7 linked regions of the Callithrix jacchus genome follow. The protein of the gene in region 7 interacts with the protein of the main gene of each other region in a pairwise test. Links are inferred from orthologs where the notes say so. Each region holds a gene or a part of one and is shown on either strand. Other genes may lie near its edges.

What was found.
Region 1: the proteins of PHF1 (region 7) and BIRC7 interact in binary tests that used the Homo sapiens proteins (3 or more experiments, as listed by UniProt). The two-hybrid records come from large-scale screens. The link is inferred for Callithrix jacchus from reciprocal best matches to the Homo sapiens genes PHF1 and BIRC7.
Region 2: the proteins of PHF1 (region 7) and PDLIM7 interact in binary tests that used the Homo sapiens proteins (3 or more experiments, as listed by UniProt). The two-hybrid records come from large-scale screens. The link is inferred for Callithrix jacchus from reciprocal best matches to the Homo sapiens genes PHF1 and PDLIM7.
Region 3: the proteins of PHF1 (region 7) and HSD17B14 interact in binary tests that used the Homo sapiens proteins (3 or more experiments, as listed by UniProt). The two-hybrid records come from large-scale screens. The link is inferred for Callithrix jacchus from reciprocal best matches to the Homo sapiens genes PHF1 and HSD17B14.
Region 4: the proteins of PHF1 (region 7) and RBPMS interact in binary tests that used the Homo sapiens proteins (3 or more experiments, as listed by UniProt). The two-hybrid records come from large-scale screens. The link is inferred for Callithrix jacchus from reciprocal best matches to the Homo sapiens genes PHF1 and RBPMS.
Region 5: the proteins of PHF1 (region 7) and NAB2 interact in binary tests that used the Homo sapiens proteins (3 or more experiments, as listed by UniProt). The two-hybrid records come from large-scale screens. The link is inferred for Callithrix jacchus from reciprocal best matches to the Homo sapiens genes PHF1 and NAB2.
Region 6: the proteins of PHF1 (region 7) and TFCP2 interact in binary tests that used the Homo sapiens proteins (3 or more experiments, as listed by UniProt). The two-hybrid records come from large-scale screens. The link is inferred for Callithrix jacchus from reciprocal best matches to the Homo sapiens genes PHF1 and TFCP2.

Annotation. Positions count from the first base shown.
Region 1 is NC_133506.1:58,738,001-58,742,288, forward strand, and holds the start of BIRC7 (baculoviral IAP repeat-containing protein 7), read left to right. Parts: upstream 1-1,488; 5' UTR 1,489-1,497; coding exon 1,498-1,822; intron 1,823-2,171; exon of another isoform or gene 2,172-2,716; intron 2,717-3,239; coding exon 3,240-3,339; intron 3,340-3,723; coding exon 3,724-3,805; intron 3,806-3,897; coding exon 3,898-3,943; intron 3,944-4,166; exon of another isoform or gene 4,167-4,288.
Region 2 is NC_133503.1:68,644,111-68,647,610, reverse strand, and holds part of PDLIM7 (PDZ and LIM domain protein 7), read right to left. Parts: intron 2,279-3,500; coding exon 2,127-2,278; intron 2,040-2,126; coding exon 2,009-2,039; intron 1,560-2,008; coding exon 1,441-1,559; intron 1,043-1,440; coding exon 1,022-1,042; intron 776-1,021; coding exon 639-775; intron 563-638; coding exon of another isoform or gene 537-562; coding exon 500-536; intron 233-499; coding exon of another isoform or gene 136-232; exon of another isoform or gene 1-135. UniProt on the Homo sapiens protein: May function as a scaffold on which the coordinated assembly of proteins can occur. May play a role as an adapter that, via its PDZ domain, localizes LIM-binding proteins to actin filaments of both skeletal muscle and nonmuscle tissues.
Region 3 is NC_133523.1:42,680,588-42,684,708, reverse strand, and holds the start of HSD17B14 (L-fucose dehydrogenase), read left to right. Parts: upstream 1-1,321; 5' UTR 1,322-1,375; coding exon 1,376-1,463; intron 1,464-1,948; coding exon 1,949-1,987; intron 1,988-2,362; coding exon 2,363-2,445; intron 2,446-4,091; coding exon 4,092-4,121. Other genes in the region: PLEKHA4 (pleckstrin homology domain-containing family A member 4), read left to right, coding at 390-652. UniProt on the Homo sapiens protein: Catalyzes the NAD(+)-dependent oxidation of L-fucose, yielding L-fucono-1,5-lactone, which rapidly converts spontaneously to L-fucone-1,4-lactone. Can also act on D-arabinose and L-galactose, with lower catalytic efficiency. Does not use NADPH.
Region 4 is NC_133514.1:31,589,899-31,594,193, forward strand, and holds the start of RBPMS (RNA-binding protein with multiple splicing), read left to right. Parts: upstream 1-1,495; 5' UTR 1,496-1,529; coding exon of another isoform or gene 1,530-1,544; 5' UTR 1,545-1,632; coding exon 1,633-1,647; intron 1,648-4,295.
Region 5 is NC_133510.1:62,623,425-62,627,539, forward strand, and holds the start of NAB2 (NGFI-A-binding protein 2), read right to left. Parts: upstream 2,801-4,115; 5' UTR 2,643-2,800; coding exon 2,560-2,642; intron 770-2,559; coding exon 1-769. UniProt on the Homo sapiens protein: Acts as a transcriptional repressor for zinc finger transcription factors EGR1 and EGR2. Isoform 2 lacks repression ability.
Region 6 is NC_133510.1:68,329,868-68,333,367, reverse strand, and holds part of TFCP2 (alpha-globin transcription factor CP2), read right to left. Parts: intron 2,789-3,500; coding exon 2,636-2,788; intron 838-2,635; coding exon 727-837; intron 21-726; coding exon 1-20.
Region 7 is NC_133505.1:41,647,669-41,651,232, forward strand, and holds the end of PHF1 (PHD finger protein 1), read left to right. Parts: intron 1-37; coding exon 38-186; intron 187-370; coding exon 371-466; intron 467-664; coding exon 665-733; intron 734-865; coding exon 866-989; intron 990-1,097; coding exon 1,098-1,165; intron 1,166-1,342; coding exon 1,343-1,447; intron 1,448-1,571; coding exon 1,572-1,761; intron 1,762-1,851; coding exon 1,852-1,946; intron 1,947-2,207; coding exon 2,208-2,288; intron 2,289-2,432; coding exon 2,433-2,721; 3' UTR 2,722-3,064; downstream 3,065-3,564. Other genes in the region: protein CutA, read right to left, coding at 3,269-3,395, 3,539-3,564. UniProt on the Homo sapiens protein: Polycomb group (PcG) that specifically binds histone H3 trimethylated at 'Lys-36' (H3K36me3) and recruits the PRC2 complex. Involved in DNA damage response and is recruited at double-strand breaks (DSBs).

The sequences.
Region 1 (4,288 bases), on a different chromosome or scaffold from region 7:
TGCTTGCTTGTGTTCCCTGCAGCAACCAGCAGCCCCATAGTTTGCGACTCCTCTCGTTTCCTTTAACTCTGTGACCTTGCACACCCCTTCCAGGATGAGCAGCAGGGGAGAGAGGCTGAACGATGACAGGGGACTCTTAGGGCCAGCTAGATGGATGAGCTGCCGGGGTTGAGGGCTCAGTAGGGGGTTGGGGAGTGGTGAGGCTTGGGCCCATCCATCTGTTCTCTCTGTCCCGCCCAGGTGTCCCTGGGGTTCCTGTTCCACCCCTGGGCTTCTCTGGGGTCAAGTCCCCCTCCCTGCTCCCTCGCTGGGAGTTGTGCAGCATGGCGCAGCTGTGGAGCTTGGACCAGGGGTTCGAGTCACAGCCAACCTCAGAGCTCCAATCCCAGTGCCCACACTGATGCACCTCTCTTGGGGACATCAGAGCCTCTCTCCTGGCTATCTGGGGAGGCTGGTACAGAGGGAACTGGAGAGATGGGGGAAGTGAAGGGAGATAAGAGGAAGTGGAGGGAGATGGGGGGTGGGGGAAGTGGAGGGAGGTGGGGGAAGTGGAGGGAGGTGGGGGAAGTGGAGGGAGGTGGGAGGAAGTGGAGGGAGATGGAAGGAAGTGGAGGAAGGTGGGGGGAAGTGGAGGGAGGTGGGGTGAAGTAGAGGGAGGTGGGGGGAAGTGGAGGGAGGTGGGGGGAAGTGGAGGGAGATGGGGAAGTGGAGGGAGGTAGGGGAAGTGGAGGGAGGTGGGGGAAGTGGAGGGAGGTGGGGGAAGTGGAGGGAGGTGGGGGAAGGAGGGGGAGAAAGGGATGGGAAGGGGCCGGGGGAGGGGAGCGCAGCACAGGCCTTTTTGTCTGCTCTGATCTTCATGGCCTGAGGAAAAGAGCTGCTCCGAGACCTGTGGAGGCCCCGTGGGACAGAGGATGTTTCAGAGAACACCCGGGTAACCTGCCTCCCGCTCCAGCCCCGAATGACACGGCACTAGGCCCTGTGCGGCCAGAGTCACCCCGGAAAGGTGGGGGCTCACAGCCCCGGCCTGGTCGGCCGCACAGTCCATCCATTCTTACTTGAGCCTTCTCTGCTTCCAGAGGCTGCCCTGGGCGCCTGACCCCAGAGCCATCATCTCTGGCTCCCCAACCGGTCCCCCACAGCCCGGGGCAGGCACCAGCCTGGGGGAGGGTCTCCATGCTCAGTTCCCTCCCCTCTGGTTTGGAGAGACACTGCCTGCCCACGTGCAGTGAGCGGAATCTGAGACCCTGCCAGGGGCCCCATGACACGCCCCCGATGCACAGAGCATGCGATCCCAGAGGCCACCCTGGGCTCTTCCAGAAAGCAGTAGGCCCCAGGATATTCCCCACCCAGGGTGACTGGTGGCAACGCCGTGCCTATCCCTGCTGTCCCCGGGTGGGTGCGGGGATCAGGAGCTCCAGAAGGGCAGCCAGGCATCCTCTGGGACTGGCCATCTGCCCCACTGCTGCTGCAGAGCTGGCCAGAGCTGCCATTCCCTCCATGGGGCCTGAAGACAGTGCCAAGTGCCTGCACCGTGGGCCGGAGCCGAGCCCCGAGGAGCACCGTGGCCCCCACACTCTGTGCTGCCCTGTCCTGGGCCTGGACACCTTCAGAGCCTGGGACCACGTGGATGGGCAGATTCTGGGCCAGCTTCGGCCCCTGGCAGCGGAGGAAGAGGAGGATGGCGCCGGGGCCACCTCGCCCAGGGGTCCTGCCTTCCCCGGCATGGGCTCTGAGGAGCTGCGTCTGGCCTCCTTCTATGACTGGCCACTGACCGCTGGGGTGCCGCCCGAGCTGCTGGCCGCTGCCGGCTTCTTCCACACAGGTCAGTCCTGGGGTATGGGGCTTTCCTGCTGAGGCCCTGGGCATGATTCTGGACTCTTCCAGCCCAGGGTTCTGCCTCCTTCGTGGCACCCATACCCTAGAGGGAAGGGTCCGGCCTGATGACTGAATGGTCTTGTAAGCCCCTTCAGTGGCCATGTCCTGGTGCCTGACACTTTCCCCCAGAGTCTCTGCTGGCCTAGTTGTTAGACTGTGGGACAGGAGGAGGGGCTGCCTCTGGCCACAGTCTGGGAGTCTCAGCTGTGGAGGCTGCTACCTGGGCGTGCAAGTACCCCTTTGTGATATAAGTGGGAGGGGCTGACATTGCCTGGGGCCCTCACCTTCCCCCCACCGCTGGTCTGCATGGGGTGAGATGTTTAAGGAACAGATCAGGGTGACCGAGGCAGGCAGTGCTCAGCTGCGAGGTCCTGGCCACTCAGTCTGTGGGGAATTTCTCCAGGCCCCAGCCCACAGCCACTGTCTGGTCTTCCCCGACGGAACCAAGCGCCCAGAGCCCCTATCTTAGTCTTGGCCTGGGCCTGCTCCTCGGCCCTACATCTGGGACCACGTGGTCAGACCTGAGTTCAGGTCTTAGCTCTGCCCCTTCCTGGCTGAGGGACAAGTACTGGCACAGCCTTGGTCATCGTCAGCAATGGGCTCTGGGGGGCACCGTCCTGGGAAGGCCAGACCAACATGAGACAGCTGGGGGTGGGGACCGTGGCTGAGACAGTCAGGAGCCTCATCGTGAAGGGGCCGGCCCAGCTCACCCACCTCCCCGGAGGTCCAAGGCTCAGCAGGCGAAGGCCGGGCCGAAGGTATAGCAGCTGCAGAGCAGGGCTCTTTGGGGGTCCAGAGGTCCAGCGCCTGCTGCAGCCCAGACCTGTGATGGCAGTGCCAGGTGACATATCCCATGTCTGCCATGAGGGGATGGAGCTGCCAGGAGGTAGAGCAGTGAGGGGTTTCCCACCCCCAAAGGAAGGCATGAGTTCCTAAAACCAAGCCTGGCACCAGATTGGCCTTCTAGGGTAGCCGCCCCCTTCTGCTCACTTGTAATCCATTCTGGGAAGCAGAGACCTGGGGAGGGGCCCTTCTGACTCCCGAAGCCCCAGGGCTATAGATGTGCCAGGCCTTGGGGGGCCCCCACCGCTCACTCTGTGGACAATGCAAATGCCAGCTCAGTCCTTTCCTGAACCTTCTCACCCGTCCTGCCTGGCACCCAGACAGTCTTGTCCCCTTCACTTTTGATGCAAATGGTGTGCATGTGACATCACCCGCCAAGCCCCTGCCCACCCCTCCTCCCTGATACGACCTGGGAGCTCCCCACCCCTCCACCCCAAGCTCTCATAACCTTGGAAGGACGAAGCGGGGGTCCTGGGGCTGGGTGGGGCCTGGCTAGTGCCAGTATCTCTGTCACAACCCAGGCCAACAGGACAAGGTGAGGTGCTTCTTCTGCTATGGGGGCCTGCAGAGCTGGAAGTGCGGGGACGATCCCTGGACAGAGCATGCCAAATGGTTCCCCAGGTACTGGCTGCTCCCGGCACCCTGGGTCTGATCACGGGTCATGGTGGGCCCCGAAGGGCTCTGTCAACCCAACCCCAGGCCTGCTTTGCCTCCCTGGCCCCACAGGGCACTGGGAAGGCCCCTCTGTGGATGGTGCTTCTGCCCGGCAGGTACCCACTTTTCCTGTGAGGGCCCCTTTTGGGAAGGGCTGCTGAGGGCAGAAATTCCTCTCCCACGGAAATACCCTGAAGGCCCACGAGGCGTCTCCAAAGCAGCCCCCCCAGCCCATGCCCACAGGCACTGCAGGGCAGTGGGAGGAGGGGCCCAACCCTGGCCCCAGGGGCTCTGAGGGCTGAAGCTGACAGGAGGCTCGTAGCCCCAGCCTACATCTGGGGGCATCTGCAGGTGTCAGTTCCTGCTCCAGTCTAAAGGGAGAGACTTTGTCCACAGTGTGCAGGAGGCTCACTCCCAGCTGCTGGGCTCCTGGGTGAGCGCCACCTCTCCTCGGGGCTCCGGGAGGCAATGGGGTCCGGCCCCTCCTGTTTCCCCAAGGCACCAACATTCTCTGGCTCCTTCCAGGACCCGTGGGAAGAACCAGAAGACGCAGCCCCTGTGGCCCCCTCGGGTGAGAGCCGACACCACCCTGGCTGCCTCCTCGGGCACCCGCAGCCTGTGCTTGGCCAAAGCTACTGGGTGTCCCCACCCTGCCAGACAGCAAGGACAGTGATGGGCATGACTGGGTGTGAGGTGCCACCAGGGTTGACCTCATGGGGGCTGTGCCATGAGGATGGGGATGGGGCAGCAGGGGCCTCCCGCCAATGCCAGGCCCTAACTCTGCTTTCCCCCAGCTCACCCCTTGGCACAGCCCATTGCCGCCTGCCACAGCACCCCCAACAGTGCCCAGCACACAGCGGCCACAGCCACTGCCAGAGGGGCTGGATGTGCAGAGGGCCTTGGACAAGGGCCAGGC
Region 2 (3,500 bases), on a different chromosome or scaffold from region 7:
GGCCAGCAGGAGACTCAGGCCAGGGGCAGGAAGCGGGGGTGAGGTAGGCAGAAGCTGGAGACACTAAGGGGGTGCCCTGGGCAGGAGGAACAGAAAGAGGGAGGCAGAGAGGGCAGCCGGCTGGAGAGGGCCGGGCTACGACTGCACGTTGAGCGCGTGGGCAGAGCGCTGGTGGTGCCAGTCTCGGAGGCGGGTGTAGCGTGGGCTCTGCAGCTCCAGGACATACTTTTCCCTGAGGGGCAGAGAGAGAAGGAGGAAGAAGTGGAAGGAAGGAGAGATGGAAGGGACATAGGGAGGGAGGAGGGTAGGAAGGAATGAGGGAAGGAAGGAGCAAGGGAAGGGAGGAAAGAAGGAAGGAAAGAAGGAAGAGGAGGAGGAGGGAGCGAAGGAAGGAAGGAGAATGGAAAGCCCCAGCTGGGAGCCTCAGGAGTAGACATAGGGCAGTAGCTGGAATGGAAGAGGCAGGAGGTGGGAGAAGGGCTAGTGCCCATTCTTGTACCTTGATTTCTTCAGGTGCTCCTCATCCGGGTCTTGCACTGAGAGGGCAGAGACAGGCATTGACCAAGAGAGACAGAAGGTCAGGGTTCACGCCTGGGCTGGAGGCCAGGAGAGTCCACCCTGCCTAGGCTGGCACTTACTGAACTCGGTGCCTGTGAGGTGGGCAAGGATGCGGAAGGAACGCGACTGGCCTGTCCCAGGCCGTGGCCGCCAGTCCTCGGTGTTCTCCATCAGCCGCTGCTTGCTGGCATCTGGGACCAGCGGTCGGAGCGGCTGTCTGTGGGGAGGGTGCGGCTCAGAACCCCATGCTGGGGGTGGGCAGTGGGGGCAGCCCCTCCCAGGATTTGGTGCATGTGGGTTACAGTGATGGGAGGGAGTGGGTAAGGGCAAGGCCAGAAGCCCTGCTAGGCGGGTGGATGAGAGGACAGGAGGGCAAAGTGGAGAGGAGGGCAGCCAGGGTGGGGAGGGGCCACCGCCCAGAGTGCCAAAAGGAAGAAGAGAGGGACAGGCAGAGGGGGCTCACTGACTTGTCAGGGGTCTGCACCTGTGAAGGAAATAGACAGATAGAGAGATAAAGGGACAAAGGGACAGACACAGGAGAGGAAGAAAGATGGGGAGGGGTCAGGGCAGCCGGGGACCAGGCAGCACTGAGTGTCTAGGGCTCAACTGGCCCAACACCATGACCCAACCCCAAGCCGCCAGCAGGGGGTGCGACCTCATTCAGAGACCCCTCCCCAGGGCAGTGCCCTGCAGGGTGCCACAGCCTTGGGAGGGGCCCTGTGCCTGCAGTCCCACCCCGGCCGCCAGGGGTTGCTGCCGCACGGTTCCGCCGGGCTGGGGCACAGCACAGACTGAGCAGCAGCGGGCAGCGGGCAAAGGGCGTGGGGCCACAAGGGGCCTGATGGCATGGGCACGGGCACGGGCGGGCCGGGGCTGACATACCCATTCTGCTGCGGGGCGTTGTCAGCGGGCGGGGGCGCCCCGAAGGGCCGGGCCGTCTTGTTGAGGGAGACGCTGGGTGCAAAGGTGTACCGCGGGGGGTCCGCGGCAGGGGCCGGGGCCTGAGCAGAGACAGAGCCGGGCAGGGCAGGCGGGCAGGGACTTGGGTGGGAGTGGGGCGCCCGCACCAGAAGACAGTGGCAGCTCCAGCCCCCCACACCCCCCACATCTTGCAGGAGACTAGGGGGAGACGACAACTCAGGTTTCAAGGGGCCCATTCAGGAGTGGTGATTTCAGTCCACGCAGGACCGAGGGCTGACCAAGTGCGGGCGAACACGCAGCACCGGCGGCGGGAGGCAGGCAGGCGGACAGACAGGCAAACATGCGTGGTGCCCAGACCGTGCGGCAGCCCCTGGCTCAACTCCAGGGCCCTAGACCCACCCTAGCTCCAGTTTCTGCCCTCTACTTCTGACCAGGGATTGGGGTACCGAGGCTGTGCCAGGAGGGCGAGCAGGTCTGGCTGTCCAAGCCCAACCCGCCCGCTGCCCAGATGTCCCGGCCCGCCTCGTACCTTCTGGGGTTTGCTCTGAACCGGTTGGGCCCTGAAGGAAAAGGAAAGTGTGACAGCGTGGGCCCATGAGAATCCCCATTGCTAGCGACTGTGCACCCATCCACACCAACGCGCATACCTGCTGAGGCCCAGGCTGAGGCGTTCCCCACAGGCCCGGATCTTGTTCTGAGCTTCGATGTGTGTGAGGCTCCCTGCATTCTCGCCATCGATGCTCAGCACCCAGTCACCAACGGCCACTCCAGCCTGTGCTGCTTTGCCTCCAGGAGTGAGCTACAGAGAAAAGCACAGTGACCGAGGTCCTTAGACTCTGCAGACCCAAGCCAGGTGGTAATGCTGCCCCACTTCTAGAGGCCAGAGAGCTCTTCATTCAACATAGTTCTAGGCAGCTGCTGGACACTAAAGCAACCAGGAGGTGGTGGCGCTCACCTGAGCTTCACAATTTCCCATCACACTGCTGATTTATTTACTCTGCACCACGACCCTACCCCACAGTCCAGAAATTCTATGATACCCACAAACAGCCATGCTCAGGCCCATGTGTTTCAGGAGGACCACCTGCCTTTTGAAGCACCTGCTGGCTGCCTGCCCAGGGCTGCTATACTACCAGATATGCCCTCTGGCCCATGCAAGGGGCAGCTTCTTCCCTGCTACCGCTGGGGGCTCTTATGGATCTCTTACCCTCCAGCACCCTATCTGGGGGCCATCTGCAGGGGTCCGCTGGGACACTTTGAGAGCCAGGAACAGGCCCTGTTATCTCCAGGTTCCCCATGAACACTGCCTGAATGGGGCCTAAGGTGACAGCTGGGGCTTCATAGGCCATACATGAGTGTCACTCCCAAGCCTTCAACTGCCAACTCCCCTGACTCCAATCCTTCAGGCTCTGAGCTGGGAGTCCCTGGTTCCAGTGGCAACAAGGGGTGACAATAGGCTGCGAGAAATGGCTGCCACCAGCATGAACTAAGACCATCAGGAATGACTTCAGGGAAGCTAAGAGAGCTCGGTGGCCCCTTCCTCACTCGCTAAATAAGAACACCTCCTTCAGTTTACTGAGCACCAAGTATGCTACACATTGCTGCATCTTCCAACAACCCTGTGGAGTAATCTGAGATTTTACCCATTTTGCACTTGAAAGTGTACACAGAGAGGTTAAACAACTTGACTCAAGTCACCCAGCAAGAGGCAGGGCCAGGAAGTGACCCTGACCCTAAGACTCCACCACTGCAGGCCACCTTTGCTGAGCATGGGGGCCCAACTGAGGGGTCAGCCCACCTCGAGACGCCCTGAGCTTCCCCCTCACATTTAATTCAAGCCAACTAAATCAACCCTTTAAACTGTGCGTGGGGAAGTGACACCCCAGAGGGGAAATGACTTACTCAAGGCCATGGTGAGTCAGTACAAGGGAAACCTGGCCCAGCCACTACCTGCCCACAAGGGCTGGCTCCTGGGAGGTGTGGGCTGAGTCCGAGGTGGGGGTCTTGGGGTGCACAGGAGC
Region 3 (4,121 bases), on a different chromosome or scaffold from region 7:
TGATGGCTGGGGGTGTTGCACTTCTGGGTTTTAGGGAGGAGAGAGCTGGAGACCTGGAGTCCCAGGTCCTGGAGAGGAGGGGTCTGGGGGCCGGTGGGAATTTTTTATCTTGGCGAGGAAAGAGTTGGGCAGGGTTTGGGAGTTTTAGGTCTCATTCAAGAGGGAACTGGGTTCTGGGACACTTGAGAGGAGGGGAGGAAGCGGTCGGGGGCGGGGAGAGGGCCGACACCTGAGTCTCAAAGAGGACTGGACTGAGGTATCCAGACTCCTGGGTCTGAAGGAGGAGGGGCCGGAGGCCTGGACTCCCGGGTCTGAGGGAGGAGGGGCCTGGGAATCCGGAGTCCCGGTGCTGAAGTTTGCCATTCTCATGTCCTACTCATCCTCTCCAGGTGGAAATTTGGACTCCCAGGGAGACCCTCTCTCACGTGTGCCGCTCTCTCCGTCGGACCCCACGCGCCAGGAGACCCTTCCCCCCAGATCTCCCCCGGTGGCTAATTCGGCTTCCACCGGGTTCTTTCGCGGAGGCAGTGGGCGTGGAGGAGGCCCCGCCCCCTGGGGGCCCACGTGGGATGCCGGGATCGCCCCTCCGGTCCTGCCCCAAGACGAGGGGGCGTGGCCTTTGCGCGTCACTCTTCTACAGTCCAGCTTTTAACCCTCCCAAATGCGGCAGCCAATTGGAGCGTGAGGACGTGACCGGAGGTACCGCCGCAGAGATGTGGGACCACTCAGGGCATCAGGGGGCGTGGTCTGGTCCCTGTCGCCAGCCCGGGACGGGAATGGTTTCTATGGCCAAAGTTTGGTTTTCTCAACACTGTCTAAATTTGGATTAAAACTTTGAACTTGTAGTCAATAACTTTGTTTCTCTCTGTTGGGGGTTGTGGCGCTGGAGTCTCTGATGGGCAGAGCCGGAGTTGTGGACTCCTGGGTCCTGAGAGAGGAGGGGACAGGGGCCTTGGACTTACAGGTCTCTGAGAGGAAGGGATGGAGAAGCTGATCCCTCAGTCTGAGGGAGGAGGGGCTGGGGGCCTGGACCCCCTGAATCTGAGGGAGGAGGGACTGGGGTCTTAGGGAGGAGGGGAGTGTCTGAGGGAGGAGGGACTGGAGCTCCTGGATTCCTGAGTCTGAGGGAGGAGGGGAGTGTCTGAGGAAGGAGGGCCTGGAGCTCCTGGATTCCTGAGTCTGGGGGAGGAGGCGAGTGTCTGAGGGAGGAGGGACTGGGGACAAACCCAGGTTTCCAGCCTTCCTGGCAACACCCCCCGGGGCCGGACTTCCAGGATCCAGCCCCTGTTGATGGTTTGATGCAACGCTGTCACGGGGCTTTGGAGGTAGACAGAGGCGCAGAGTAGAGAGACGGACAGAGACCGACGGACACGGGATGGCCACGGGAACGCGCTACGCCGGGAAGGTGGTGGTTGTGACCGGGGGCGCGCGCGGCATCGGAGCCGGGATCGTCCGCGCGTTCGGTGAGCGGGGTCTGGCCGCTGGGAGCTGGGGAAGGATGGGGGCTGGGCAATGGCGGCGGAAAATGGAGACCCCAGTAATACAGCTGGGATTCTGACCTTACAAAAGCCCATTTGCAGGCTAAAGTAAGCGCGTGCCGCGGTAGGCTGGGGCTGAGTCTGGCGAGGTCTCGGAGGGCAGTGGCCCCCTTTCTCTGGGTCTGTTAGTGAAGCTGCAATACCAGTGGCTTGGGGAATGGCTCTGGCAGTCGTGGGGCTGGCTCTGGAACCCACGAACGGGGGCTCAGGAGCCTCAGCAGAAACCTGGCCAGGCAGGGAGAGCATGTGTCAAGGGCTCTGCCCTCTGCCCTCTGTCCTGAGGGTGATCATGAGACTGGGGTCACGAGGAGAGGGGAGAGGGAGAGCGACCCCACTCCAGGTGGCCACCAGAGGGCGGCAGAGGCTTGACCCAAGGCTCGGAGGGTCACCTGTTCCCTTCCTATTCTCAGTGGACAGCGGGGCCCAAGTGGTTGTTTGCGACAAGGATGGTGAGTGATGGTCCCTCAGCCCTCACCCCGGCCCTCTTCCCTCAGACCCAGGGGTCCAGGCCCCAGCTGCTCCCTCAGATTCAGGGGGTCCAGGCCTCCAGCCCCTCCTCCCTCAGACCCAGGAGTCCTGGCCCCAGCCCCTCATCCCTCAGATTCAGGGGTCCAGGCCCCAGCCCCTCCTCCCTCAGACCCAGGGGTCCAGACCTCTAGCCCCTCTTCCCTCAGATTCAGGGGTCCAGGCCCCCAGCCCCTCCTCCCTCAGACCCAGGGGTCCAGACCCCTAGCCCCTCCTCCCTCAGATTCAGGGGTCCAGGCCCCCAGCCCCTTCTGCCTCAGACCCAGGGGTCCAGGCTCCCAGCTCTTCTCTCACTGCAGAGTCTGGGGGCCGGGCGCTGGAGCGGGAGCTCCCTGGAGCTGTCTTTATCCTTTGTGACGTGACTCGGGAAGACGACGTGAGGGTGAGCACAGTTCCTGCTCCTGCTCCACGCCTCCACTAATTGCCAGTTCTTTGTTCTCCAGGCATCCGCATATGCCGTTCCCTCTCCTTTTCCTTCCTCTCCTGGCTCCACTGGACCCATCAGAGGTTTCCACCTAGTGTCACTCCACACATAGGTCTTCCGTGATTGGCAAGCAGGTCATGTGTTCCTCATCTCCCACCTCTCCAAGGCTCTTAGCACATCTGACATGTGAATGGAAATGAATAAAAAGTCCCTCAAAGTGGGTCAACTGTAACGGATTTTTCTTTCTCTTTTGTTTTTTTGGAGATGTCACCCAGGCTGGAGTGCAATGGTGTGATATCAATTCACTGCAACTTCCACCTCCCGGGTTCAAGAGATTCTCCTGCCTCAGCCTCCCAAGTAGCTGGGATTGCAGGCGCTTGCCACCATGCCCAGCTTATTTTTATATATTTAGTAGAGACAAGGTTTCACCATATTGGCCAGGCTAGTCTCAAACTCCTGACCTCAGGTAATCTGCTCACCTCTGCCTCCCAAAGGGCCCCCAGCCCCTCCTCCCTCAGACCCAGGATTCCAGGCTCCCAACTCCTCCTGGGTTGGAATTCCAGGTGTGAACCACCGCACCTGGCCTGTAACCGATTTTTCTCCCTTGTTTCTGTTTCTGGGTTCCGATTTCCTCCTTTTCATTTTCTTTCTTTTTTTTTTTTTTTGAGAGGGAGTTTTGCTCTTTGTTGCCCAGGCTGGAGTGTAGGGGTGCCATCTCGGTTCACTGCAACTTGCACCTCCTGGGTTCAAGCCATTCTCCTGTCTCACCCTCCCAAGAAGCTGGGATTACAGGCGCCAGCCACCACAGCTAGCTAATTTTTGTATTTTTAGTAGCAACAGTGTTTCACCATGTTGGCCAGGTTAGTCTCGAACTCCTGACCTCAGGTGATCCACCCACATCAGCCTCCCAAAGTGCTGGGATTACAGGTGTGGGCCACTGTGCCCGGCCCCTATTTCTTCCTTTCAATCAGTATCTCTCTGTTTCCTGCCCCACTTGGGTAACTGTCTCCTACTCTCTATCTGAACCCTTGTCAACCCCCACCCCCTGACCTTGGAATGATGACTGCACTGTGGCTCTGACCAGCTCCCTGTCTCCTTCCTGTCTGCTACTCGCCTGCCATGTCTGCTGATCTCGGCACTCCCTCTTCCTCTAGCTCTTGTCCCCTGAGCTGGGAGTCCAGCTTTCCCCTCCTGCCTTGCATTTGGCAGCCCTGTCTGCCTTATGGCTGGACACCTCATCTACTGCTCATTCAAAGGACATTTCCTGGGTAAGGTGTGGCGCCTGTAATTCCAGCACTTTGGGAGGTTGAGGTGGGCAGATCACCTGAGGTCAGGAGTTCGAGACCAGCCTGGCCAACATGGTGACACCCCCTCTCTACTAAAAAATATAAAAAATTAGCCAGCTGTGGTGATGCCCACCTGTAGTCGCAGCTACTCAGGAGGCTGATGCAGGAGAATCACTTGAACCTGGGAGGCAGAGGTTGCAGTGAACCAAGATCGTGCCACTGCACTCCAGCCTGAGCAATGAGGAAAAAAAAAAAACAAAACCAAAAAACAGAAAACAAGAAAATGAAAAAATCAAAGAAAATTTCCTTCCTCCTCAGACTCTGGTTTCTGAGACCATCCGCCGATTT
Region 4 (4,295 bases), on a different chromosome or scaffold from region 7:
TGTTTTTTGATAGTGGCCATAATTGTTCATTTTTAACATTAACCATATTGATCAAATAACTTTGAGTGCCAGGGGATGCACAAATGTGAGGTTTGTGTACGATCTACAAAGCTGCAGTTAAAATTTTTTTCTCTCACTTGCTCCTAAACACTGTTTTAAACTTATAATGGGTCTAGTGCAGTGTATCATTGTTTCTTCTTGATTTTCAGCAGTCTGTATGGGAATTTTTAACCTTCGTAGGAAAAGCAATGGAACATCATGGTAGCTAAAATTGCAAATCTCAAACTTGGCAGAATTATTAGAAAAAAGTAAAGTTCAGTAGAACAGATTGTGAGGAAAGCATTATTCATGTCACAGGAGTTTACAAATAACAGGTGTACAATGCACTGGGATGTTTCTCGCCCATTAATGGAAACGCTCCGGAGACTGTACAGTCAAGAAGATGGATAAGGTTGTAGATCCCTTCCGCTATCTCCAGTGATTCATTTTTTTTTTCTCTAATACTGCCTAACTTCCTCTGTTACAGACACTGGGTAGTATCAACATGTTTCCTTACTGTTCAATCTGAAAGACAAACCCTCCAAAAAATTAAAAATAGAAAAAGTAATGTTCTGATTTATCTGCCATCAATACTTTTTATTTGTGGATTCTCTTAATACCATATCAGAAATAACTTTATAATTTATTTTTTTGAGATGAAGCCTCGCCCTGTTACCCATGCTGGAGTGCCGTTGCGCGATCTCAGCTTACTGCACACCCCGCCTCCCCGGTTCAAGCGATTCTCCTGCCTCAGCCTCCCAAATAGCTGGGACTACAGTCACCTGCCACCACCCCTGGCTAATTTTTTGTATTTTTAGTGGAGACAGGGTTCCACCGTGTTAGCCAGAATGGTCTCGATCTCCTAACCTTGCAATCTGTCCACCTCGGCTTCCCCAAGTGCTGGGATTACAGGCGTCAGCCTATTTTTTATTTTGTTGTTTCTTTTTGTATAGAGAGTCTTGCTAAACAGTATTTCTTGGCCCTTGCCCATGCTAGCTGTTCCCTTTGGTGATACGGGCAAAATTAACCCAAACCATGAAATAAAACATTACACTCTATTTCCTTCTTCCCTGCCTCTCCAGGTTTCCATCGCTTTTCACCTTAGCCCTTAGTTTTGTTGCACTGGTAGCATCCTGGAGCCTCGCAGGTTTTTCTCAGCTCATTCACTCTCTTTTCACCCTCAACCGTGGCAGCTCCAGAATGCGGGTTTCTGGTGTGTTATCTTCTGTTTCTGTGAACTTTCGCTGCCAGTCACTGCCTTTCCATTTTAATTGCATTCTCCCACCCCCGCAGTCTTCCTGGAATGCTTCCTGTTTTGCTCAGGTGGGTCTCATCCTCCCGGGGCCCGCATCTCCTCTTTCGCCTTCGTCTGACTGAGCCCGGTTGCAGCTGAGTCCTCGGCGTGGGGAAGTGAGGTGGGGGAAGCTGAGTCAGGTGCGCGACCTTGTGTGTCCGCACTTCCGGTCGCGCGGCCCACGCCGGCCGCCATTATGATGCAGAGCCAGGTGAGTCGTCTGGGCCCAAACCTGCTGTTGGAAGTGCAAGGGCACCGAGAACCACCCTACCTGTAAGAGATCTGTTAAACTTCCTCAGATGGGATGGGGAAAGGTGAGAGGGTGACATTTCAGGTGACCAATGCCTGAACTGGGGCTTCCAGGGAAAGGCTAGAGAAAGACGTGGCGAAAAACTCTCCCTCCTGGGGCTGTGACTTCTATTATATTTACTCATCGTAACTTTTTTTTTTTTTTTTTTGAGACTGAGTTTCACTCTTGTTACCCAGGCTGGAGTGCAATGGCGCGATCTCGGCTCACCGCAACCTCCGCCTCCTGGGTTCAGGCAATTCTCTTGCCTCAGCCTCCTGAGCAGCTGGGATTACAGGCACGCACCACCGTGCCCAGCTAATTTTTTGTATTTTTAGTAGAGACGGGGTTTCACCATGTTGACCAGGATGGTCTCGATCTCTTGACCTCGTGATCCACCCGCCTCGGCCTCCCAAGGTGCTGGGATTACAGGCTTGAGCCACCACGCCCGGCCAACATTGTAACTTTTTAAAAATAACTGTGGAATTAATAGTAATTCCCCTGAAATACCCACCCTGTGTTGATGGAGCAATGGCAAAAAGCTCGTGCTTAAGTATTCTTGTCCACAGCGTTGCCAGTGCCTCCTTGGTACGGAAAACCAGGTGTGACAGAGTCACCTCAAGCCCCGCAACTTCTCCAAAACCCGAATCTGCGTGAATATTGCCTTTCTATAAAATAATGGAATCCGTTTGCCAAGTCTATATTCTCCTAAACTGTAATACTTAATATTTTTTTCTCTGAAGTCTTATTTTAAATGGTTTTTTAAATGGTGCCCTGCACTAATGTTTTTGGTAATTATGGCTAAAAAAAATTTAAAATCTTTAAGTGATGTAAAAAGAACCTGAATCTGGAATATGCTGCGTGGATACTGCCTTTTTAAAAAATACTGGAATCCGTTTGCCCAAAGTCTATATTCTCCTAGACTGTAATACTTAATATTTTTTCTCTGCAATCTATTTTAAATGGTTTTTTAAATGGTGCCCTGCACTAATGTTTTCAGTAATTATGGCTATAAAAATTAAAAGTCTTTAATCTGCATGATATAGGAAAAAAAGCTGTGTAGAATAGTAGTTAAGAGCCCAGGCTTTGTTGAACTGCCTGAGTTCAAATCAAGCTCTAACACCAGCTGTTTTGATTTTGGACCTGTTCCTTTACCCTCAGTTTCCTTATTTGCAAAATAGTTCCTATCTTACAGGGTTGTGGTCAGGGTAATTGGGTAAATACAGGTTTACAGTTGCTTATCTGAAATCCTTGGGGCCAGATGTGCCTAAAAATCTTTCAGATTTTATACTGATTGATAATTGACTGAGGCAGTCTGTTTCTGTGGCCCATGCTGGAATGCAGTTAGCTCACTGCAACCTCCACCTCCCAGGTTCAAGCAATTCTCTGGCCTCGGCCTCGTTAGTAGCTGGGACTACAGGGGCGAACCGCTATGCCCGGCTAATTTTTGTGTTTTTAGCAGAGATGGGGTTTCGCCATGTTGGCCAGGCTGGTCTGAACTCCTGGCCTCAAGTGATTCTCCCACCTTGGCCTCCCAAAGTGCTGGATTACAGGTGTGAGCAGCCACCCCGCCTGGCCTCTTTCAGATTGTAAAAGACAACATAGTACATAACGCATTGGTAACATAATATAGTGAGGTCTAAGGTAGCACATAGTAATTAAGCACATTAATATTTTTGCAATGAAACATGAATAATACACTAAGTGGGATAAGTTAAAACTATAAATAGTTTAACATCACTTCATATCAGGTTTTGCCACCCAGTGAGTTTGCACTGCCCTCCTCCCAGACTCACCACTGTAGGCTTTTAGAGCGTTTAGATTTTGGAATTGTGGATTAGAGGTTGTGGAGTCATATGTAAACCATTTGAACAGGGCCTGGCATATAGTAAGCACCCTATAAATGTTATGTGCAAAACTGAATTCTTCCTATACTTTATGACTAGTTTGTCATTATTTAAAAGAGTAGTTTAAATCATAGTGCTTTAAAGTGGATGTAGTGTAGGCCTATGTAACTATTTGTGTGTATTTTTTGCATATTACTCCCTCATTTGGGTTTCAGGTCTGTTTTTCCCATGGTAAAAGAACAAGAGAAAACAAGGCAGAGCAGAAAAGTTCCATGTTCCTTCTCACTCCTGCTTGCCTAGTCAAAACAATTGAACAGTTTAAGATGTCTATTTCAAAGATTTCAAGTAAATTCTAAAATGTTTCCTCTTGTCGTGACTTGTGACTTCAGCCTTGACTTGCCACTCTGTGCATCTAAATCTTTTGATCTGCTTTGCTGCCAATGGATTATTTCCAGAATATGATGGTGTAGACATTCTTACATTTTAGGCAATTTAAATGCTTCTAAGATTTTTTTTCTTACCCAAAAGAGGTGGCTTCTGAGTTTAGGACTGTGGGATTGATGTTTTATGTGAGTTCATGGCTGTGTTATGTTATTTGGCCTGAAAGTCTAGTGATCTGGTACATTTTATCCTGTGATCCATTAATATGTATTGAAAATATACTGCAGTTCTTACAGTGAAAAATAATTAGACCCATTTCATCCTCTTTCTACTTAATACACATATTTACCCAGTCTAAGCCTGATTAAGAAGGGCAGTGTGGGAATGGCTGAAAGAAAAATACATGCTTTTCAAAAGGTAAACCAGAACTGGAAGCAGAAACTCTGAA
Region 5 (4,115 bases), on a different chromosome or scaffold from region 7:
CATCTCAAAGATGTGCCCCACGCTCCGTGCCAGCTTCTTATTCAGCTTTAGCAGGGATGTGACCTCCCCAGCATCCCCCCTTGGGAAGCTCCGGAAGATCCTCTCCACACTTTCCACCACCATGCGTACCATCTCTGGCTCCAGTCGATCTGGACTACCCCCAGTCCCACCTGCTGCCAGCCCCCCAGCCCCAGTCCCCTCAGGGACTCCTCCCCCTGTAGGGGGGGAGAAGGGGGGCGAGCCAGCCTCCTCTTCTCCTCCTGCCCCAACGTCCGACTCTGGAGTGCTCCGGCCTGGCCAGATCCGGGGGTCCCCTGCCCCTGGTCCCCCAGGCAGTGGTGATAGCTTCTCTCCAAGTTCAAGGGGGCTCTTGGGACTAAAACTGCGGGCACTGCCTGCCTTTTCCCCTGGGCTGCCATGCCCATTGCTCATGCTCCCTTTCCGGGTACCCGCAGTCTCAGAGATCTTGAAGAGCGGGATGCTGGAGACGGGAACAGCAGGCACTGGTTGACTGAAGAGCCCTGGATTGGTGGCCCACTCTCTCAGTGCCTTCTGCAGGCGTCGGACATGGAGGGGCTTGGTGGCCATGCCCACAAGTGCCATGATCTCCAGAAACTCCTCCTCACCCGCCTCACACAGCTGCTGCACGTCGTCCCCTCCCTGCTGGATGAAGGTCTCATAGTAGGAAAGGAGGTTGGCGCGCTGCAGGACCCGGTACAGCTGCAGCTCCCCCAGCGTCCGAGGCAGTGCCATGGCTCGGGCACTGGGCCTGAGAAGGAGGGGCACAAGAGAGAGGCAGTCGGTGCAAGTCCCCCTACTGGGTACCCACCCACACTAACAATTGCTCCCTCTTTTCTGCCTGCTTTTCTCGCCCCCCCCCCATTTGGATGCTCTCCTGCCCAGTACCCACATCTGAGTACAGACCCTGAGAATCAGGCACTGCTCAGAGGCATGGACAAGCCGGGGCCGTCCTAGACTAGCCTGAAGCACCAAAAGCCAGTGCCCATGTCTGCAGGAGTGCAAGTCTCTTTACAACCCCATCTTCGGCTTTTATCTTTCTGGTCTGGGGCAAGACCTGACCAGCACCAATCTGGGATGGCTGGACCTCCCTCTCCCCCAAAACACAATCCTCACCTTCCACTCTAAACACTGGGCAGTCTCAAAGCTAATGAAAGTGAAGTCACCCATACTAATGTGAATGTAGGGCCCTGTCTCTCCCACAGTGGACACTGAGGGACACTACAGCTGGTCAGTTTCACTTCCCGTGGACGGGCCACAGCACCAGGTGGCTGAGAGTGAGGGTGTGTCACCTTCCCTGGCTTTCCCACTCAGTGAGCCAGGTGTTGCCTTGCTCCTTGTGCAGCTTTTCCCGGGGTTAAGCATTCTTTTTCTTTTTTCTTTATTTTTTGGGGCGGGGGGGGGAGGTGGGCCGGAGTCTCGCTCTGTCGCCCAAGCTGGAGTGCAGTGGCCCGATCTCGGCTCACTGCAACCTCTGTCTCCTGGGTTCAAGCGATTCTTCTGCCTCAGCCTCCTGAGTAGCTGGGATTATGGGCGCGCCCCACCACGCCTGGCTAATTTTTGTAGTTTTAGTAGAGACAGGGTTTCTCCATGTTGGTCAGGTTGGTCTCGAACTCCGTGACCTCGTGATCCAACTGCCTTGGCCTCCCAAAGTGCTGGGATTACAGGCGTAAGCCATCGTGCCTGACCGGGTTAAGCATTCTTTACGCAGGCTTCCTCTCTCCCGCTAGGACCTCTCCACCCCTTTCAGGCTGCCCAGTTCTCCTCAGTGGCCCCTCTCCCAGCACTGACACTCCCCACTTTCTCTGTGGGCCTGTTCCTGCAGCTCAGGGGCCGCAGCAGGGGAGGGGCGCAATTGTTCTGCTCCAGGGCCGTTCCGCCCACACACACTCCCACAGTGATAGCGTCTGTGGGCGAAAACCGCCCAGGGGCTCCCGCCTACTCTCCTCTCCCTTATTTTCCACCCGCATCTTCAAGTGGAGTGGGGGAGCGGCTCAAGGCCTCTTGATAAAGGGGCTGCACACTGAAACTCCTCTCCCCACTCTGTGAATAAAGGGACAGATAAGGGAAGGAAAGCTTAAGGCCTCCCTCGTAACCCCGTCCCCCCTCCCGCTGATGCTCCTTTAACTCAAAGGCACTGGCTTCTCCTGGACCCCGGGGGCTCGCGCGCCGTGCCAACGACGGACTGAGGCAGCTGAGCGTCCCCCTACCTTCCGCACTGATGCCAGCTCAAGCTCCAGGGCATCCCCTGGTGCTTGGGGGCTCCCACATTCTTTGAGGGGGCACTTGTGCCATATCCACCCCACAGAGTAAACCGGGAATAGAGAATTAGGTACTACTCTTTCATATCCCGCTTCATCAGATGCTTGCTTGCTCCCAGGGACCCCTAATTCGAAGACGCACCCCCTTTTCCATCAGTCTCCACCCCCCACCCCCGACCCGCTTCCCCACGTCCTCCTCTCGACCTCCGCCCTCTGGACCCCATTCCCAAGTCCAGCTCCACCCATCTCCATTCCCCTCTGCCTCCCTTTGCCCACTAACTTGAGTCTGGGCTGCAGGGTCCGGCGGGCGCTGTCCCCTCCGCCCGGCGGCTGCTCGGCTGTGGGGGAAGGCGCTCTGTGCATGGACTGCCGGAGACCACCCGGGCTGCCCTTCTCGGTGCCCGGCGCTCGGCGCCTGCTGCGCGTTGCGCTCCTCCCCACGCAAAATGCCGTGTCCACCGCTGTCCAGGCTCTGTCCCTCCCTCCACGTCTTCTCTCTCCGAGCCTCCGAGCCTCTGTCTGTGCCTCTGCCCCCCCGCCTCCCCGGCTGCGCTTGCCGCCTCTCCGCGCCTCCGCCCCCGCAGGACGCACGGGGAGCGAGGCCCGACTCTGCGCTGGCTGCGGGGCTGGCGGGCGGAGGGCGTGGGCAGAGCCGGGGGCGGGGGCGGGGGCGGGGGCGGGGGCGGGGACCGGGGGGCGGGCACCGGGGCCTCTCGGCCGCTGAGACACCGCGGCTTACAGACTGGGAGAGGCGGAGACTGGGGGGAGGGGGTGTGGAGCAGGAGGCGGGGGCGGGGACTCAGAGCCCGGGCGCATAGTTAGGGACCGAGGTGACCGAGGCCCGGCTGTGGAGGACGGGCTTGGGGACCCAGCAGGCGGGGCGAGGTCGTTCAGTGCCGCCCACGCCGGATGCGCAGCCGGCCCTCTTGAGCCCACGTACCCACGTGAGTGCCGGGCCGGCGACATTCCTACTTTCCCCCACCCCTCCGAGCTGAGAGCGGAGTTTCACAACCACGCACAAGTACACAAAGACACAGAAGCGCACGGACGTGCACACGCGGCTAAACAACTACGCGGACGCCCACTGCTCACACTCAGGCCTTGCGGTGCTGGACGTGTGAATGTTAGAAGTCGGGAAAAGTTGGCGAAGGCTGGGGTGTGCGGCTCCTCCTGTGCGTGCATCTGACTCCCACAGAGTGTGCACTTAAGTTGGGCCTGAGGACGTGGGGCTCTGCAGGGATCCCCTAGATATCCCTGCGCCGCTCCCCAGCCCCCAGTGGAGTAATCTGAGGAGTCCGCTTTCGGAAACCCAGGCCTCCATGCTAATCTGGAAAGTTTAGGAAACAGGGATGGGAGGGTTATACTGCACGCCACCACTTAGGTGCGCGAGTTGATTAGACGCGTCGAGTTTTGTCAGCGCGTAGGTCAGGCAGGGATTCGGGGGTGAAACCCCGCCTTCCTCCACTTGTCCTCTATTTGCTGAGAATGAGGCCCTGCTTGGGCATTTTGTGTGGCAAGGCTGTGACAAAGACGATACCCTTCCTGGGGCCGTCTGTCTGTTAGGGGACCTCGCCCGAGAGTTTAGTGGAGATGAGTAAGAGGTCGGGTAGCCTCCGACGTGACTTCCTACGGCAGAGCTGGAGGGAAGAGCGCCTTCAAGGAGCTTAGCACCCCCCTCTGCAACCCACCATTGTCTCCCCCTTTGGTTTCTCCTAGCCCCATCTGGTTCGCATTGCACTCCCGCCCACGTCTGGGAGGGCTGTAGGGGGAGGCGGGGGCTCTGAGGGCCCGGCTCTAAGCCCCAGGGAAATGGGGGGGGGCGGTGGGAGACCGAGG
Region 6 (3,500 bases), on a different chromosome or scaffold from region 7:
ATCTCAGGCCATGGAGAACACTGAAAACAAAGGATAAGTTAGATAACGAATAAGCACGTTTGACCCTAGGATTTCACTAACACATTGCTCCTTGAATAGCACATCTTGATTAGTAAATCTTAATTCCTCAGAGACCCTCATAAGCAATAGACAACATTGCTTCTCTTTCCGCCATCTTGAAGCCTGTGGAGGCTTTCTGGGAACAGGACTTCTAAAAGGAAATACGTCTAGAAAGCTGTGGTCCTGGGCCATTTTTGCTGGATATAAGTGGGTTCTCCAGAACCAAAGGCAGCACACAGCTCTTCTTAAAATTGAAGGTGTTTATCCCCAAGATGAAACAGAATTCTATTTGGGCAAGAGATGTGCGTATGTATCAAAGCAAAGAACAACACAGTGACTCCTGGCAGCAAACCAAACAAAACCAGAGTAATCTGGGGAAAGGCCTATGGAAACAGTGGCATGGTTCATGCTAAATTCCAAAGCAACCTTCCTGCTAAGGCTATTGGACACAGAATCTGAGTGATGCTTACCCCTTAAGGATTTAAACTAATGAAAAATCAATAAAAGTAGATTTGTGCTCTTGTTTTTTTAAAAACAAAAACAATACCAAAACAGAGTGAGAGAGAATATTCCTTAGAAGAAGTAAATTTTGACCAGTTTGGAAGTGATTTTCTTCTAAGATTAAAAATTATGAACTGAAACTGTCACCAAGAGAAATCCTGTTACCTCTGTGAGTATGGTCGTCTCATAGGAAGGTTGGTATTTCTCCTTTTCATGAGGTGTTCGTTTCTCCATTTTCTCTCTGTCTGTCTTTTGCTTTCTGTCTGCACCTTTGGGCTGAAATGAGAAATATTTTGTTTTAAACTCAGGTAATCACCTTTTAAGCCAACAATATTACTTCTAAAAACTTAAATATTCACATATGAAACAAAATTGTATGTGCAGGTATGTAAAGGTAAGACACATCAGTTTAAGTCTGAAAATAGGAAATTTACATGTTTGATAGGGTTGAAAAGAATCAGATCTATAGCTACTGACATGGAAATATGTCTAAAGCACACAGTTCACTAAAAAAAACCAAGTCTCAAAACAATTCAAATAGTATAATCCCACTTACGTGTCAAAGAAAATATGTATGTAGCTATGTATGCCTGTGTATAAAAGCACAGAAGGGAACTAAAAGAGCTGGGCGTGGTGGCTCAATCCTGTAACTATCGCACTTTGGGAGGCCAAGGCAGGCAGATCGCCTGAGGTCAGGAGTTCGAGACTAGCCTGGCCAACATGGCAAAACCTCGTCTCTACTAAAAATATAAAAAATTAGCTGAGCATGGTGACACATGCCTGTAGTCCCAGCTACTGGGGAGGCTGCAGCATGAGAATTGCTTGAATTTAAGAGGCAAAGGTTGCAGTGAGCTGAGATTGTGACACTGCACTCCAACACGGGCAACAGAGTGAAATTCCGTCTCAAAAAAAAAAAAAAAAAGAAGAAGAAGAAGAGGGAACTAGAAGAACACATACAAAATTATGACCGTGGTTTCCTCCATCATAAGACGGTGAGGGGGTTCAGCGTAAGAGTAGTAAAGAGAGAATTTCCTCGTTGCTTTGAATACTTCTGTATTATTCAATATCTTACAATGAGAACAAATTAAAAAATTTTTTTAGATGGAGTCTTGCTCTGTCACCCAGGCTAGAGTGCAGTGGTACAATCTCGGCTCACTGCAACTTCCACCTGCCAGGTTCAAGTGATTCTCCTGCCTCAGCCTCCTGAGTATTGGGATTACAGGTGTGTGCCACCATGCCCAGATAATTTTTTGTATTTTTAGTAGAGATGGGGTTTCACTGTGTTAGCCAGGATGGTCTTGATCTCCTGACCTCATGATCTGCCCACCTTGGCCTCCCAAAGTGCTGGGATTACAGGTGTGAGCCACTGCACCCGGACCAAGAACATACTTATCCCTGTGATAAAAATAAATAGGACCCTGGCTGGGGCACAGTGGCTAATATCTATAATCCCAGCACTTTGGGAGGCTGAGGCAGGCAGATCACTTAAGCCCGGGAGTTCAAGACCAGCCTGGGCAACACGGCAAGACCCCCTCTCTCTACAAAAAAATACAAAAATTAGCCCGATGTGGTGGCACATGCCTGTAGTCCCACTGACTGGGGAAGCTGAGGCAGGAGAATCGATTAAGCCCAGAACGTTGAGGCTGTAGTGAGTTGTGATTACGCCACTGCACTCCAGCCTGGGTGACAGACTGAGACCTAGTCTCAAAAATAAATAAATAAATAAGACCAAATAAGAAAAGATCAAGTATGAATGTAACCAAAAATACTCAATTTTTGTAAGCTTTACAAGAGCTTGTAACTTCAACAGGCTTTAAGAGCTTTCAATGAGAACCCATGTTCTTGTCTCTAGCCCTTTTTTCCAAGTTCCTATTATCCCATGATCATTTCCATGTAAATTTCTTTACCAGGCATCTTGGTAATTATTTCAATGACTCTAGCTTAGACATTTTTTCATTTTTTGAGTTTTCAAAAAAAAAAAAAAAGACAAGTTGACTTTCTGACTTCGTAGCTAATGTTAATATAGAATGATAAGGTAAAAGAATCCAAGGGCTAGCACATTGCCCAGGAATACCTTGAAAACTTTGATCTGGCAGCTGGCCGAGTGTAAGTGCTCAGTATATTCCCCGTTTTCATTCTCCTTGAAGGTATCAATTTGCACTCGGAATGGCACCCCCTTTTCTCCACCATGTTTCCTCATAGTGAACTCTGTGCTAATACAGTGCACCTGAAAAGAATGCAACATCAAGGCTTCTGTCCGGCCGGCCAAACCAAATGGCCAAATGGTGGTTTGTTTGTTTTTTAAGCAACTGTTAACAGCAAAACCTTTACTAGGCATTACGAATATCTACAAAAAACACTTTTCCTCTTTTTGATCTTAAAAAACTTCCAATCTGATACAAGAAATACAAAAACTTAAATGATTTACAAATGCAAACAAAATAAATGTACAGATCTAATGCTACCAAAAGTTACTGTGAGGAACTAAATTCATTAACTGCTTCAAAGAACACAGAGTTAGCAAAACAGAAATGATTTCTGTGAGTTAAAGTTTCCTCAATTTCAAGGAAGATCTTAGAAAGAGGAGTCACTACCCAGTCTGGGAACATAGTAAATATGAATGTTCACAGCGATAGTGGAGAAAGAGGTTTGCCTGGCGACTGCATAAAGCCTAACATTAGTGAATTTTTTTTTTTTTTTTTGAGACAAAGTTACATTCTTGTCGCCCAAGGAGGGCAATGGTGCAATCTTGGCTCACTGCAAACTCTGCTTCCCAGATTCAAATGATTCTCCTGTCTCAGCCTCTCAAGTAGCTGGGATTACAGGTGCACACCACCATACCCGGCTAAGTTTGGCATTTTTAGTAGAGACGGGGTTTCGCCAGGTTGGCCAGGCTGGTCTTGAACTCCTGACCTCAGGTGATCTGCTCCACTTAGCCT
Region 7 (3,564 bases):
ACCCCGCTGAGGCCACCCACCTGTTCTATCTCTGCAGAGGGGCGGTGCCCTGAAGAAGGGCCCCTATGCCCGGGCCATGCTGGGTATGAAGCTCTCTCTGCCATATGGACTGAAGGGGCTGGACTGGGATGCTGGACATCTGAGCAATCGACAGCAGAGCTACTGTTACTGTGGTGGCCCTGGGGAGTGAGTAATGAGGGGGAGCAGACTGTGCAATGAATGATGGCGGGGTGGACCCCAGGAAATGAAGGAGAAAGAACAGTGAGGGTAGCACTCAGGGGGTTGTGAAGTAAGTGATAAGCAGGTTTGGGACAGATATAGGGATGGTTGCAGTGAGTCGAGAGGCCAGAAGTCCTCTGTTTCCCCTTAGGTGGAACCTGAAAATGCTGCAGTGCCGGAGCTGCCTGCAGTGGTTCCATGAGGCCTGCACCCAGTGTCTGAGCAAGCCCCTCCTCTATGGGGACAGGTGAGACTCTCCAGGAGCCAATGATGCTCTGTCTTTGTGCTCCACCCTCAGTTCCCCCACGCCCTTCTCCACTCCAATCTCTTCCCAACCTCTGCAGGGTTACCTCACCTGTTCACCCCATCCTTGCTTGTGAGTCCTCCAGGAGACGGCATAGTTTTTCTGTGTAAGGTGTGTGTTCTCCCTCTTGTCCACGTCCAGGTTCTATGAATTTGAATGCTGTGTGTGTCGCGGGGGCCCTGAGAAAGTCCGGAGACTACAGCTTCGCTGGTGAGCTGGATTGGTCATGACCTCAGTGTAACTCTGCACCCCCAGCATTTCACTCTGTATGCCCCAACCTCCCACCTCAGGACTCCTCTGGCTCTTAAAATGCCTCTGTGGTCTTGAAAACTCTTTCTCCAGGGTGGATGTGGCCCATCTTGTCCTTTATCACCTCAGCGTTTGCTGTAAGAAGAAATACTTTGATTTTGACCGTGAGATCCTCCCCTTCACTTCTGAAAATTGGGACAGTTTGCTCCTGGGGGAGGTAAGGGGTAGTGACTTTTGGGAGTTGGGATGGGACAGGAAGATGTATTGGAAAGGGGAAGAGAAGAAATCACTGCTCCCCTGGCCCCATTTTCTTTCCTTCTCCCAGCTTTCAGATACCCCCAAAGGAGAACGTTCTTCCAAGCTCCTCTCTGCTCTCAACAGCCACAAGGACCGGTGAGTTGGAGGGAAGAGGAGGCAAGGGTGAGGCTTGGAAAGAGATGGAGATTGGAAGCCTGGAATGGGAGCCGTTTGTAACCCATCTGGAAGACTGTGACTGAAAAGGATTTAGGAATGGTGTAAGGGGGGACCTTTTTTACAGCAATGACTGTATCATTTATCTTCTTGCCCCAGTTTCATTTCAGGGAGAGAGATTAAGAAGAGGAAATGTTTGTTTGGTCTTCATGCTCGGATGCCTCCCCCTGTGGAGCCCCCTACTGGAGATGGAGTATTCACCAGGTCACTGGTCCAGGGGGGATGGGGGAAATTCTCAGGGTGTTAGTCTGGGGAATTTATGTATAGAGATGGGGAGGTCTTTGGGGTGTCCGGGAGGGGGCTGGGGGGATAAGGAGGCCTCTTACAGCTTCCCTTCAGGGCAGGGCCCTGGGGGAGGGGTCTCACGTCCCCTGGGGAAGCGCCGGAGGCCGGAGCCAGAGCCCCTGAGGAGGAGGCAGAAGGGGAAAGTGGAGGAGCTGGGGCCACCCTCAGCAGTGCGCAATCAGCCCGAGCCCCGGGAGCAGAGGGAGCGGGCTCATCTGCAGAGGGCACTGCAGGTACAGGGGAAGGGGGAACCCTATGGAGCAAATGGTGGGGTGTGGGAAGGAGTCAAGAATTATCTCTCAGTCCTTTGCCCCCTCTTCTAGGCCTCAGTGTCTCCGCCACCCCCCAGCCCTAACCAGAGTTACCAGGGCAGCAGCGGCTACAACTTCCGGCCCACAGATGCCCGCTGCCTGCCCAGGTCAGTGCTCCTCTGCCCCTTCCCCCCAAAAATACACTCCCATTTATTCATATCTTCTGGACTTTCTCACCCAGAATTCTTTTCCGTCTCCCCCTTGGCTACCCACTTCTTGTCCTAGACCAACTTCTAGAGCTAGTGTCTGGTAGCCAGTATTCAGGGGAAGGGAGTCCCTTGGGGGTAATGTTTGAGCTCTGTACTTCCTAGAGGGAGAAGGTCCTGTTACCCTGCTTCAGGTCCTGACTTTCCCCCCTCTGACCCCAGCAGCCCCATCCGGATGTTTGCTTCCTTCCACCCCTCTGCCAGCACCGCAGGGACCTCTGGGGACGGTGAACCCCCAGACAGGTGAGATGCTGTCCTCTATTACCAGTGATGCTCCTCTTCCCCTCTATGTGCTCAAGGCTCTTAATCTCTTAACTCTTTCTGTTTCTCTGATTCACATGTGCTCTCCATTTCTGCCTGTTTCTTACGATTGCCTTCTCTCCTTAGGTCACCCCTGGAACTTCACATTGGTTTCCCCACAGACATCCCTAAAAGTGCCCCCCACTCGATGACTGCCTCATCATCCTCAGTCTCATCCCCATCCCCAGGTCTTCCTAGACGCTCAGCACCCTCTTCTCCTCTGTGCCGTAGTTTGTCTCCTGGGACTGGGGGAGGAGTCCGAGGTGGGGTTGGCTACTTGTCCCGAGGGGACCCTGTCCGGGTCCTTGCTCGGAGAGTACGACCTGATGGCTCTGTGCAGTACCTGGTTGAGTGGGGGGGAGGCGGCATCTTCTGAACAGCCTGCCTCTGCCCACCTCCCCATTCACATACACCGGCACTTTCATACCCTGACCTCTGACCTCACCTACAGCTGGGATGTACCTGGAGAGATAGGGGGTAGTTCTCCCTGCTGCCCAGGCTGGAATCCAAGAGTGGGGGGTGGGGAAGAGGCTCTCTTCTCTACCATCCTTCATGATTCCTGACCCCCCCATCCTTCTTCCCATTTCCTTTGACGTTATTTTGTTACAGCTTTTTAAATATTTTTTAAAATTATTTAACCCCTGGGGGCAGAGACTGAGGAGGGAGGATGATAAGGGAACCCAGACTCTGTATGATTGAAATAAAGAGAAATAAACAAATCTAGCAGCTCTGAGTCATTCTGAAAGATGTAGAGAGTACAGGGACTTAAAGCACTTATACACTCCCAACAAATTTGCATACATGACAAGGACAAAACAGGCAAAAGGCAGAGAGAACCAACAGGATTTATTGGGGGCCCAGTCATCACCTGGAAGTCAGAAGACATTGAAATATCGTGGGGGATCATGGCAGAACAGGGTTCATCATGGCAGGACTGTGCTAGAGTCAGAAACTAACTCTGTGACCTGATGTACCCACTGCAGGTATGGAAAATTCCCCTGTTCCACAGGCAATGCAATCACCTCTGCCACTTCATACGGGTGCACAGAACTGCAAGATAGATGGGTGGGGGAAAGGGATTACTCAAAGATTTACCCAAAGGAAACCACCCCCTCAGGCACAAGCCTTAGACGGCCCAGCAAGTCACACCTCACAGTACACACCCTCACCCCATCCATCTCAAAAGTTCTCACCGAACAAAATCTGTCAAAGCCGGGAC